Linked DNA regions of Mus musculus: regions 1, 2 and 4 are each reported to be linked to region 3. Evidence: microRNA targets listed by miRTarBase, many of them from high-throughput screens and not tested one by one. Region 3 holds a microRNA gene; each other region holds the end of a gene's coding sequence.
The links. The annotated mature microRNA mmu-miR-758-3p reads UUUGUGACCUGGUCCACUA and lies in region 3 at 1,973-1,991, opposite strand. An mRNA with a match to its seed (bases 2 to 7 or 8) in the 3' UTR can be bound and repressed. Matches are read on the target gene's strand: a 7mer-m8 pairs with bases 2 to 8, a 7mer-A1 pairs with bases 2 to 7 and ends in A, and an 8mer does both.

Region 1 (3,143 bases), not on the chromosome of region 3:
TTGGAAGCCAGCGTGGTCTACAATAGAGTTCCAAAATAGCCAGGGCTACAGAGACCCTGTCTCAAAATCCAAACCAAACCAAACCAAACCAAACAAACCCCAAACAACAAAAGATTTACATTGCAGGTGACCTATTTTGTCTTCCTGCTCACTTTTTTTTTTTTTAACTTTAGTTTCAAAGGCCTTTTGCTCTTGTACCCACATTCAACCGCCCACGTGGCTTCGCCTCCTGTAGACCAAGGAAGGGAAGGTGCTGGAAGTCGGTCAGCCCTTGGCCCTGGGTGTCCTTAAGCTTCATTTGCTGGCCACAGCTGGTTTCTTAGAATGTCTGAGTGGAGAGATAAGAGGGATAAAGTGGGATGGAGACTTCAGCCGACAGCCCCAGTCCACTTTGAAACTAACAGTTCTCTCTCCACTCGCCCTAGGGACCTTCGGCAGGGACAGGGAGGAGTCCGGCCAGCCCACGGCAGCTGGCTCCGCCTTTCCTTTGTCTACAACCACTATCTCTTCTTTGCTTGTACCCTGGTGGTGCTTCTGGCCATCGTCCTGTACCTTCTGCGCATCCACAGAATTCACCGCAGACAAACCCGAGCCTCGGCTCCTCTGGACCTGCTGTGGATCGAGCAAGTGGTGCCGATGATTGGGGTCCAGGTGGGGCCGTGAGGCTGGAGCGGAAGTGGAGAACCTCCCATTCCTTCGGATTGCTGCTGCTGCTGCTGCTGACTGAATTCCTCCACTTTCTCGAACTGGCCTCCGATGCTGCTTTGGCCTGCGAATTTCTACTTATTCACTTTGATTTCTTTTTGGTGCCCAGGACGGGACCTCTTCTCAGAAGTCGCAATTTAACTTCGAGGAACTAAATGTCGAGAGGCTGGTGCTAAGCTTAGCCCAAATGAAGCATGCTTCTCCTTTATCTCAGAAATTTGATCTGTTTCTGGGATGTAGCATCCCCCCCCCCCCCCCGCCCCTTGCTGAAGCAAGTTTTTGATTGGGCAACCGGAGGCGTGGTTGAAATCAGCTTGGATTGACTGCTACAAAGCCAGAGACATTCCAGCAAGTGCAGTTGCCCCTGTTTTCTCTGTAACAGAGAGATCCTTATGTGGAAGATCCACAGCCTTGAATAGGGACCTAAGATCTCTGAGGTTCAGTGGACCAGATTTCAAGGCAACCAAAACGATACAACTTCCTTGCTTACTTGACAAGCCATTGTGGATGTGCTCGGAGATTCACCCCCCCCCCCCCCCCGCAGTGTTTCTGATTTTGTTATATAGATCTGAAAGGTTAGAGCGCCTTTGAAATGGATGACTTATTGAAGATCTGACAGTATTTTATCTGATACTTGGTCTGACCAGTATAGAAAACATTTTCATGTCTATGTGCCTCACAAGGCTGCTTGGGCATTAATATTGCCTTTTGAGCCTTAAGTGTGCTTATAGATTGGAGAAACCGTGATGGGAACAGGACCTAGTTTTGCCTGTTTTGGTTACGGCCTCACAGGCATATAGCGTGTAGAAGATTCAAAGTGACTTCCCTCATTTCACTCCTAAGATCTTATATATATATATTGGGAAGGAATGTACTTGTTTTGTTTATAAATTATGTTTTGTTTTAAGAAAGAATAGCATCAGGAGAGTGGGCAAAGGCAATAAAATCCAAGGTTTTGATTTTTGTTTTTGTTTTTTGTTTGTTTGTTTTTTGTTTTGTTTTGTTTAGTTTTTTTGAGACAGGGTCTCTGTAGCTCTGGCTGTCCTGGAGGAATTTGCTCTATAGACCAGGCTGGCCTTGAACTCAAACTCACAGAGACCTGCATCTTCCTCCCGATCACTGGGATTAAAGGCATGAGCCAGCATGCCTGGCTTAAAGTCAAAGATCTTACTTTTTTTTTTTTTTTTTTTTTTTTGAGATGCTCAAAAGACAGCAAATTCTAAACTTTGGAATAACTAGATAAATCTGCCATGGAGCAACCTGGCCACTTTCTGGATGTCTGTCACAAATAGCTCTCCCACTAGCGGGGAGAGGAAAGCCATATTCCCGATGTTCTCACCTACTGCCTCTCAGACGGCCTTCTCTGCAGCCAGCCTTTCATACTGTAGTCCTCCATCGTCAGCTCCTCCCTGCCCCCACCTGGGATTGTTCCCAGGGCCGAAGCAGGAGTTTGATTTCTTCTTTTGGGGAGTAAGGCAGGTCTCCTGAGCCCAGTTTTCTAGGTCGCCAAGGCCAGCCTTGAAGCCCTGATATCCCTGCCTCTGTGTCTTTGTAGCGCTGGCTTCAAGGAGAGCATCACCAACCTGGCTCATTTTCTCTTCATTTTGCCAAAGCCTTTTATCTCTAGTGTTGGAGTTCAGAAGAAAAAAAAAAGAGTCTAAAGGAATAAAAATGAATTTCTTTGATAATAAATTCCTCCTGGGAACAGAAGGAAATGAAATGATTTATGAAATAGAGAAAAAAGTCAAGATGGTCTTAGGGAGGAAGCCAACGTGAGGATGAGTGTGTTGACTTAGCAGTTAGGCAAGGCTGCAATTACCATCATCTCCTCCCTCTTCCTCCCCCTCCTCCCTCTCTCTCCTCGCCCCCTCTCTCTTCTTCCTTCTCCTTTCCCTTTCCTCCCCTTCCCTCTTCTTCCTCCTCCTCCTCCCCCTTCCTCCTTTTCTTCCTTTTCTTCCCCCTCCCTCCCCTCTCCCTCCCCTCCCCCTCCTCTTTTCTTTTCTTTTCTTTTTTTTTTTTTTGAGGCCGAGTGGGTGTCACTAAGTAACTCAGGCTGGCCTGGTTCTCAGTGGTCCTCCTGCCACAGCCTCCTGAGTGCTGTGATTACAGATGTGTGCCACCATGCGTGCACATTAGATACGTGCACACCTAGCAAAGAATTCTTTCATGTCATCTACTTTTCATTAGGGCTGTGAGGTTGACATCTTAGGACTTCTCAGTTGTCTCCCTTCTCCATCATTCTAATTTTTATGTCCTGTGAGTGAGCCTCTGCTTTTTTTTTTTAATGTTGCTATAAAATGCTCTTACCAGCCATTTGCTTCCTCAGGGAACATTTAGCTTCATCTTGGTTTCTATATAGCTGTCTTGGTGTGTTGAGAGATCTAGTCAGAAGTCCCTGGGCAGGTTAACAGTGGCCATGTTCATGGGCTCCAATTGAG
Region 2 (3,143 bases), not on the chromosome of region 3:
AACTCTCTCATATTAACCCCCCCCCCAGGAAACAAGAAAGTTAAAAGTGTGTCATGTACTAATCTTAGGACACAATCCATAGGATGACAGCTGTGTCCTACCTTTGGAGGCGCAAGTGGATTGTACACTGTGCTAACCCTTTTTTAACTGTGTGTAGAGATGCAGAACTCAGAATAGATTAATTAAGAGAATAATGAGAGAAGCAGTAGACAGACAGACACAATGCATGTGTAATCGTTTTAAAACGTGGAATTTACTGAGCTCCTGGTATACCTATGTGGTTTTGGCAAATCACACTAACCTGAGCATTTTCCTTACAAAGACTGATTCTGGACACTTTATGGTTTATTTTCTTTTAAAGGCTCTTCATCTGATTGATGAGATGGATTTGAATAGTGACAAAAAGCTCTCTGAAGAAGAGATTCTGGAAAACCAAGACTTGTTCCTTACCAGCGAAGCCACGGATTATGGCCGACAGCTCCATGACGACTACTTCTATCATGACGAGCTTTAACCCCCGAGTGCGCCCCAGCAGGATGCGGCCTTCTGTAGTTTGCTACCAGCTTGACTTTTATGATGAGATATAGATGTTGTCCTTTACACTCTTAAGTCTTACCACTTCAGATGATCTAAATGTAGATTATAACTTTTGGCCTTTTCAAAGAAAACAAAACAAGAACTTGTCATTTATTTCAAGACATATTGAAGGAGTAAACTATTAATGTTGTGCCATATGACCACACAGTCTTTCCTAAGTACTCCATCTATGTAGTGCTGTGTTGTGGAATGTTGAGCTCTGTTGCCATACTTGAAGACATGGAGGATTTAGACATGTCTAAACAATAGTATTTAAGTAGCACGTGATGAAGCTGTCAGTTTTCGTTCTTGTACTAGTAGACTTACTTTTGAAACTGACAAAGGACAGTGTTTAGATTTAGTGTTTTATCTTAAAGCCTTTAAAGGAACCTTCACAAGGACTTAAACCTCACATAGATGTTGAGAAGTTCTACTTAATTTTAAAATGGTTTCTAAAAAGGGTTTTGTCGTATGAAATAGAACTTTATATTTTTGCATATGTATAGATAGTAATTATATTTAATGTATAACTATAGCATTATGGTGTGTGGAAATTGACATTGTCCAGAACTCTTCACTTTTGATTGATTAAAAATAAACTGTCCTATCTTTTTATATGTTTGGGTTTTTGTTTTTTTTGTTTTATTTTTCCAGATAAATCTTAAATTCAGCATGGGTTTTGTTATATTAAACATTATTCATTCCTTTATTAGATAGTGAATGTTCTCAAGATTGTTAATTATTCTTGGTACATAGTCTTATTTACCTTTTTTTAAAAAAATTAAAAGAATTATGTTATAATTGAACGTGCACCTGAGACATTTTCAATTGCTTTTATGCTGAGTGTGATTTTGCACTTTGGTGCTAACATAATGTTTTTGTTTTGTTTGAGATGCTAGGAATCATCCCCGGGACCTTTCTCTGGCATTCTAGAGAAGTGTTCTGCTACTGAATTGCAAACCCTTTAGCCCCAGAGATAACCTTAAGCCTTGTGGAAGCTGAGAGCCACCTCACTGAGCGCTTATCCACACCCAGACAATTGGATTTCGTCATATTCAAGTATCAGCATGCCTTTGTTAGAGTGGAGGAAAGTAGGTGAGAAATTAACTTTCTGGGCTTGTGACTTAGAGATAGTTCTTTTTTTTTCTTTGCCTTGCATTCCTTTTATTTATAGGCGAAAAGTCAGCTGAGAATTTGTTGGGTTTTTTTCAGGTTACCAATCAGGTGGCACACATAGTGTAGCTCACCAGGCCCTTGTGAGTGTTTGTGAACCGCCTCCACCCCCCACCCCACCCCTGGCTCTTTTCTGACAGAGTTGACTACCAGCTCCTGCCCTGCCTTTGCTGATGTTAAGCTGTAGATGCAAACTGTGAAGTCAGCATTAACTATAGCTGTCTTACCCTAGTAGCTAAGGTTTTCACTCTAACCCACAGCATCACGAGGCTCTAGCAGTGTAAGAATTGAATTACTGTCATCACTCATCTGTCACTGCTCGGCCTCACTGAGATTGTTTAAGGTAGCTACTGTGGTTATCAGGATGTTAACTGATTTTGTTAGTAGATTCTCTAAAGCCCACGTCACAGATGTTAGCCTATCATACAGATTTAACTTTAGTCCTTAGCAGAAATCCTTTCACTTAGTTAAGAAGTTAACATTGTCCATTCAGCATGAATATACAGATACAAAACTTGGTGATTGTTAGGGTTTACCAATATCTGTACTGTTTTCCTTAGCATAAAGGAAACTGGTTTGTAGCCCTCTTAAGGTAGGCAGTGACTGGCTCCAACCAGCTGAGTATAGTAGTCATTGTCACTCCATGACTAGTCAGAGGCAGCCCCTTTCTTCTACGTAGCACTGTGGAGGAGGTTCAGTGGAAACACTAGAGCCACAGAGTTGAATGTCCATGATTGCTTAGTGGCCACATGGAGAACAAATGGACCCACGGTGGAAATAAGCTTTTTATTTACATAGTTTTAATGATACCAGCCTAGAGATAGAGGAATTTTTGCTGTTTTTGAACCACAGCAGGACTCAGCCCATCCTAAGTGAAGATTAGCATTGAAGAAGTAACTTCTATAGGCACTTAAGCAAAAAGGATCTATTAAAACAGAATAGAACTTTTGTTTGTTTTTATTTTTTGAGAGAGTACTCCCAGGTGGGCCTTGAACTTGTCCTCTTGCTTCTCGATACAGTTGCATAGTTCTTGCTGTCCATGCAGTAGAGTAGTCATGACAATCCACACTTACTGTCATCCAAATCCCCTGTTGTACAGTAAGATTCGTTCTTGGTCTTCTATGTAGTATGTATTACAGAAATAGTTTTCATTGGCCTTCAAGATGGTGCTGCAGTGGGGTATAGCAGCACAGGCCTGTAACCCTGCACTGGTTGGTGGAGTGCTTGCCGAGCATACACAAAACATTGGGTTTGATCACTAGCACTACATAAGATTGGGGAGGTAGAGGCCAGAGGATCAGGGATTCAGTTTTTATACTCACTACATAGACAGTTCCAGGCCAGACTGGGCTACATGAGACCTCTTAAAAACAAAAACAAAAAAAGGAAGAGGA
Region 3 (3,143 bases):
CAGGGGCAGGCAGTTCCACCCCCTGGTCGAGTGGTTCTCAACCTTCCTAGTGCTGTGACCCTTTAATATACTTCCTCATGTTGGGTAATCCCCAACTGTAAAATTATTTTCAATGTTACTTCATAACTGTGATTTTGCTACTGTTATAAATCATAATGTAGATATCTGATATGAAATGCCTATGAAAAGGGCTCATGATTTGCAGATGAGAATTGTGTTCTACCTGGAACCCCACAGAAAGCTCTACTGCTGACCACAACCCTGGGTGGAGTTAAGGACTAAGAACAGATTTCACATCTTTTGTTTATTTGTTTGTTTGTTTGGTTGGTTGGTTGGTTTGGTTTTTTTCGAGACAGGGTTTCTCTGTATAGCCCTGGCTGTCCTGGAACTCATTCTGTAGACCAAGCTGGCCTCGAACTCAGAAATCCACCTGCCTCTGCCTCCCAAGTGCTGGGATTAAAGGCGTGCGCCACCACTGCCCCGCTCCAGATTTCATATCTTAAAGCTCACTGGGCAAATGTGTGTGCCAATTTCAGGTTTGCTTTCCTACTGCTAGAACACTGCTGATTCCAAGTCTCTTATTACAAGGATGTGGGTGTGTGTGAATAGCATGGATCTAGGTACCATCTGACACAGTGGGTGTTCTCTACAATAGACAGTCCTATAGCAGGGGTTGGCTGATTAAAAGCCCATCACCGTGCCTCCAAAGCATGCTGGACATGTGTGGGGGTGGCTGTGTCTAACCTGTTAGAAGCAAAGTGGGTGCAACCTACCTGTGATGACCTGGGGTAGAGTTGCCTCGGTGGCTGCCATCTTCCCCAACTTTGGAACACCATATTGGTTGAGAAGTCCTCCTGAGAATGGACAAGATACTGAAGGTTAGAAGCACAGGCAACAGAAATCTGATGTATGGGATGGGTTTTGTCCGTCACTCACTTGTTCATAACTATTAGTGTGTCCTCAGCTGAGGCTGAGGTATGGACCAGAAGGCCTCCATAGTTTGTTCTGATGGGAAGAGAGGTTGACCAAATGTGTTTCAAACACAGAAACCCCTCTTCCACATCCTCAGTTAACAATAACAATGACACCTTCCCAAACTGGACCTTCAGACCTGGCAGGCCTGGGAGGGTTTAGAGGACAAAGGACACCATTCAGAACGATAATCCACTCGCTGGCTTTGTGGAGAACCAGTTATTCCTGTCCCCTGGCTGGATGCTGACAGGACCATCCTTCCCTGAGACTGGGATCTGGACCACGAAGCCTCCAAGATGGGATTTGATACTGAAAAAAAGGTTAGCTGGGTGTGTTTCATTCTCATCAAAGAAACAGAGACCCAGAAAACCTCTCTTCCGGTACCAGAAGCGAACACTGACAAGACTACCTCGGTAATTCCCCAACGTGACCTTCAGACCTGGCAGGCCTGTTGAATGCAGGGTTGCACACTGGATGTTAGTCAAAGTGCTCAAGCAAGCCATTAGTTGATATATATCTGACAGCCATCCCATCACATGCCCCAGTACAGCAGACCTCCATGGCATGATCCTGAAGTTATGTCACAACCAGAGAGCAGTGGCGCAGTAGAGACTGGCTATAGGACTTACCACCATTTTGGGTAACCACAGAAAGGCACAGATGCCCCCAAACCAAAGATGATTCCTCCCACAGATTTAGCATGCAAGTGTGCTAAGGTGACCTGCGACCTGTGCCATATATAAATGGCATACACACACCCTGGTCATGTCTGACAACATGGTACGTTTCTTGAACTTGGATGGCCCCATATCAAGGAAGGGATCCAAGTATAGGACAGCATTGGAAGCCCATCCAATACTACCATAACAGGCACATATGTTGCAAGTACTGAGGATGCTGTCTCCAAGTCTAACAGCGTACAGCTGGCTTATTGCCTCTGTCCCCAAAAGTTGAGATCTCTTCCAGGAAGTTCTCCAAGGGAAGGTTAGATACTGAGGGTTAGTGGACCAGGTCACAAACGGCACAAATATAGCGTGTGCTCTCTGGTCAACCACCTCACGCACCCACACGTGTATCACATGTCGATGCCACTTTCCTGGTCTGCAAGTCACCCTGCCCACGAAGCTGCCAAGCCAGAGAAATTTGCTGAGAAGAAGGCTGCCACACAAGAGTTATTGTCAGACACAAGAAAAGACAAACCCGCTGGCTGGGTTGCGCTAGCACACACATTTAGTGTCCCCACCCCACAGCTGGTGTTAGCTCCAGGAAAGCTCGCAAGGCGGGATTAGATACCGCAAAGAGGTCGACCGTGTAATGTGCGCCATAAATGAAGCGAACGCGCCACGGACCACCTCTCTCCAAGTACCAAGCAGCAGCAGTAGGAAGACCGGGACACTGGCTCTTCCTCAAAGCAGATGTCACCTCCTGGAAGTCTTCCAAGGCGAGATGTGATATTGAGAAGAAGTAGACCATGTGTCCTACGTCATAAATAAAGCGTACACACCATGGTCAACCGCATCTTCAAATACCTTGAGGTAACGCTGGCTGATTCCAGCTCACTTTACTTAATTTGGTGTTACCTCCAAAATGCCTTCTCAATGAGTGTCACAAACTACCAGCAATCGGCATGTGTGGCAATGGCCACAAACTCATGTTTAATGCCACTATGACTTCCAGGATGCCCTGTAAGGCTGGGCTGGGTGCCAAATATTGGCTTTGGATCAAATGGCCAGAGTCGTAGGTAATGAACATGGCCTGTAGCCAAGCACTGGGTAATCTGTGTTGGATAGGGTCTGCCGCCTGAGCCCTACTCTCAATTGGTATGGCTTTCAGAAAGCCCCTGGTGACCGGCTGATGCAGAGATGTGGTGGACCATGCTGTACATGCTGGAATTAACGCACACACTCGACAGTCTACCATCTCCCCAAGTACTGTGCTGAAGCCAGGACAGGATATCTCCCATGAAGTTGGCTCGGTCTCTGGAAAACCCTCACGAATGACTTTGATAACGAGAAGATGTGGACCATACTACATACGACACAGAAGTAGCGCATGTTCTATGGTCAACCATCTTTTCAGGTACCATGGAGAGAGGGTGGTGCAGGAGCTGGCTTCTTTCCTCATGATTATCACTTCCAGGAAACCCTAGATGCAATGTTGAAAAGAGACCA
Region 4 (3,143 bases), not on the chromosome of region 3:
CTTACTTACTGATTACATTTCGATGAGAATTAAATTTTCCATTACATTTAGTCAGTCTTTAGAGAAATGTATCAGAAGTGTTTTGAGGAAAACATGCAATTGGTGTTAAATACTTTATGATATATGATTTATTTAAATTTAAAATTAAAAAGTTACATCCCAAATGGTAAACTTGCTTTTTGTCTTTTCCCCCCTCGGGTGGTATAATCCAAACATTCTATATAGATGTAAAAAAAAAAAAAAAGACCACACACACACTTGCATTTACTTTTCTCCTAAGAGTTTTTGCTGGCATAACAAGTATGTTACTAGGCACAGATGTGTAGACGTTTTTTTCTCAGTGACAGTGTTTGTTGGTCCCTCAGGCTGAGACTTCTGTCTTAGTAAAGCCTTTCTCTATAGGAATGTTATCTGCAAGGTGAAGATGAGTGTCCTGCGGTCCATCTTATTTCTTCATACACATTACTATTATTGGTTTCAGATTGACACCGATTCTTGGCATTCAGAAGCATTCTCCGAAAAATGTGGTTTTTACACAGTTTATAGCCACCCTGCTGACAGAATTGCATTTAAAATTCGAAGATCTTGAAAAATTAACCATGATATTTAGAACCAGCTGCTAGCTAACAAGAATGGTAAGTTGCATTGTATCTCTGTTTGGTTACCTGTGAGAGCTTCTGATTCATGCTCAAGTGTTCTCCCCCTGAACTGTGTCCAGCCATAAGTTTAAAATTTCAAAAGCCAAGTGCAAACCTCAAGTTAACTTGCTCTGCAGCTCTGACTCTGGTTCTTGCATTCTGGGACATCCCCCTTGTCCCACCTGGGAAGTGTTTCTCCAGGAAATAGCAGCTCACTGCAATAGACAGCATTGCATGCACCTCTTCCTAGCAGCGTCCCTGTTAGCTCAGTACAGGCAAGTGGCAAATCTGCATAGCTGGCTTTCTTGACTTTTATCACTGCTTCCAGAGACACTCCAGTCTTTTGCCTCTTGCAAGCTGGCCATCAGAATGTCCCTGGACTGTACTTCTTCCTGTTTTTTCATTTCACATGCCCCCTTCTTGTGCTCAGATAAATTCAAAATTAAAAGAATTTATCCTAATTTTTTTAATTAACTCAAAATTTTCTTTATTGTAAAAAAAAAAAAACCAAACAACACAGAAATACACATATGTAATAAGAATAGAAAGTCTTCCTTACCTCTGCTTCCAGTCCCCAAAACATGCTTGTTCTGATCAGTTTTTTTCCCTCATCAATTTTTTTTTCAATTTGCCAAGCTGTGACTGTTTATTAACTAACCAGATTACAGAAGTACCACAGATGAACGAAGGTGTTGCCCATAATTATTTATTCATTTACTTTACATCTCAGTAACTACACCACCTCCCAGTCCCTTGCCTCAAATAGTCCCTCCTCCCTCCTCTTGTCCTCTGAGAGAGTGGAGGAAGCCTTGGGTATCCCTCCATCCTGGCTAGGTGCATCCTCTCCCACTGAGGCCAAACAGGGCAGCTCAATTAGGGGAAGAGGATCCACAGGCAGGCAACTGATTTAGGGACATCTCCTGCTCCAGTGTTAGGGGACCCACATGAAGACCAAGCGATACATTTGCTACATATGTGCCAGGAGGTGTAGGTCCATGCTCTTTGTTTGGTAGTTTAGTCTGTGAGAGTCCCCAAGGGTCCAGGTAAATTAAATTAACTCTTACTGTGGTGTTTATATCATTTTTATATTTGATTATATTACATTACTGTGTGGAGATCAGAGGACACCTTTTTGGAGTAGGTTTTCTCCTCCTACCATGTGATTCCCAGAGATTGAACTCAGGTTGTTCAATCTTAATGGTGATTTGCCTGAGTAGCCATCTCAAAAGCAATTACATGACTTCCTCCTCTCAAATTCATGACCTCTTTTTTTATTGTTGTATAATCACTCACATACATACATACATACAACCTGCTGGATTCATTTAGGGTTGCTTGTATGTATATGCTTTCAGGGCTGACTACTTGATATTGGATAACCAGTTGAGAGGCTCATCCTTGGAGAGGACTAGTTCCTTCGTTCTCTCCCTCCCTCTCTGGGATCCCTCTCAACAGTGTCTTTCCCCTTCTGTGTTAGCATGTCTATTGCTGCTGCCTTTATTCTGGTCTTCTTTAGGCAGCCATATTGTTGAAGAATCATGGTTGAAGCTGCACCGTTATTTCTAGTAGATACAATCCCTCCTGGTCTTCCAGCTTCTATCACCTCCCCATGCCTTCTTCCAAGATGTTCCCTGAGCCTTGCTCAGGAGTTGTATTGGTGGTATATCTGGGCTAGGCACCCCATAGTGCATTGCTTGTTGAACTTTGAGTACTTGGGGTTTTCTTTACTGGTTTCCATCTACTGCAAAGAAAAGTTTCTTTGGTGAGGAATGAGACACTATACTTATGTATGAGTAGAAGTATTTAGGATGTATTTAGGGACCATGTTGGTTTAGTAAAGTAGCAGTAATATGTTCTCCTGTAAGATCATGGCCTCACTAACCCTGGGTAGTTGGCTAGGTTTCAGCTAACAGACACTTAGATTGCTTGAGTTTTGTAGCTATTGTGAATACAGTGACAGTGAGCATGGCTGAACAAGTAAGTATCTGTGGAGCAGGATGTAGAATTCTTTGAGCATATGCAAGGAGTGGTACATTTATTTTTACCTTTTTTCAGAAATCTCCACACTGATTTCTGCTCACTTTGCAATCCCACCAACAGTGAATAAAGGTTCCCCTTTCCCTACATCCCTTCCAGAACTTGTTTTGTTGATCTTTGCAATTCTGACTGGGGTAAGATGAAATCTCAAAGTTGTTTTATTTGCATTTCTGTAATTGCAAAGAAGAGGTTTTTCTTAGCCATTTTTATTTCTTCTGTGAGAAGAACTCTATTCAGATCCATAGCCCATCCTTTGAATGGGCCTTTGTTGTTTGGTGGTGGCGGTGGTTGTGGTTTTAGTCCTTTATACTATCAGATGTGTAGCTGGCATGAATTCTCCCCCATTCTGTGGGATTTCTCTTCACCTATGCCTTCGTTTCCTAGGCAAATAGAATCCTATTGTTTTACTGACATGTATCGAAAGATAGCCCTGTAATTTCTTCTACCAGTTTCAGGTTTCACGGTTAG

Region 1: miRTarBase lists Entpd7 as a target of mmu-miR-758-3p. Seed matches in the 3' UTR shown: 8mer at 1,987-1,994.
Region 2: the mRNA of Rcn2 is a reported target of mmu-miR-758-3p. The part of its 3' UTR that is shown has no 7-base or 8-base seed match.
Region 4: miRTarBase lists Rpap2 as a target of mmu-miR-758-3p. The part of its 3' UTR that is shown has no 7-base or 8-base seed match.

Annotation. Positions count from the first base shown.
Region 1 is chr19:43,729,273-43,732,415 of GRCm38, forward strand. Entpd7 (ectonucleoside triphosphate diphosphohydrolase 7) reads left to right here. Exons shown (of 13, transcript NM_053103.5): 13 at 426-3,143. The coding sequence ends at 663. Among named protein-coding and RNA genes, the nearest start is that of Cox15, 22 kb to the right of the region's middle.
Region 2 is chr9:56,057,698-56,060,840 of GRCm38, forward strand. Rcn2 (reticulocalbin 2) reads left to right here. Exons shown (of 7, transcript NM_011992.2): 7 at 362-1,386. The coding sequence ends at 514. Among named protein-coding and RNA genes, the nearest start is that of Rcn2, 17 kb to the left of the region's middle.
Region 3 is chr12:109,711,706-109,714,848 of GRCm38, reverse strand. Mir758 (microRNA 758) reads right to left here and starts at 2,039; the gene lies at 1,959-2,039. It overlaps Mir380 (microRNA 380), which reads right to left and starts at 3,046; the gene lies at 2,986-3,046. Mir1197 (microRNA 1197) reads right to left here and starts at 2,532; the gene lies at 2,413-2,532. Mir323 (microRNA 323) reads right to left here and starts at 2,341; the gene lies at 2,256-2,341. It also overlaps Mir329.
Region 4 is chr5:107,654,676-107,657,818 of GRCm38, forward strand. Rpap2 (RNA polymerase II associated protein 2) reads left to right here. Exons shown (of 13, transcript NM_144911.3): 12 at 482-635. The coding sequence ends at 623. Among named protein-coding and RNA genes, the nearest start is that of A930041C12Rik, 22 kb to the left of the region's middle.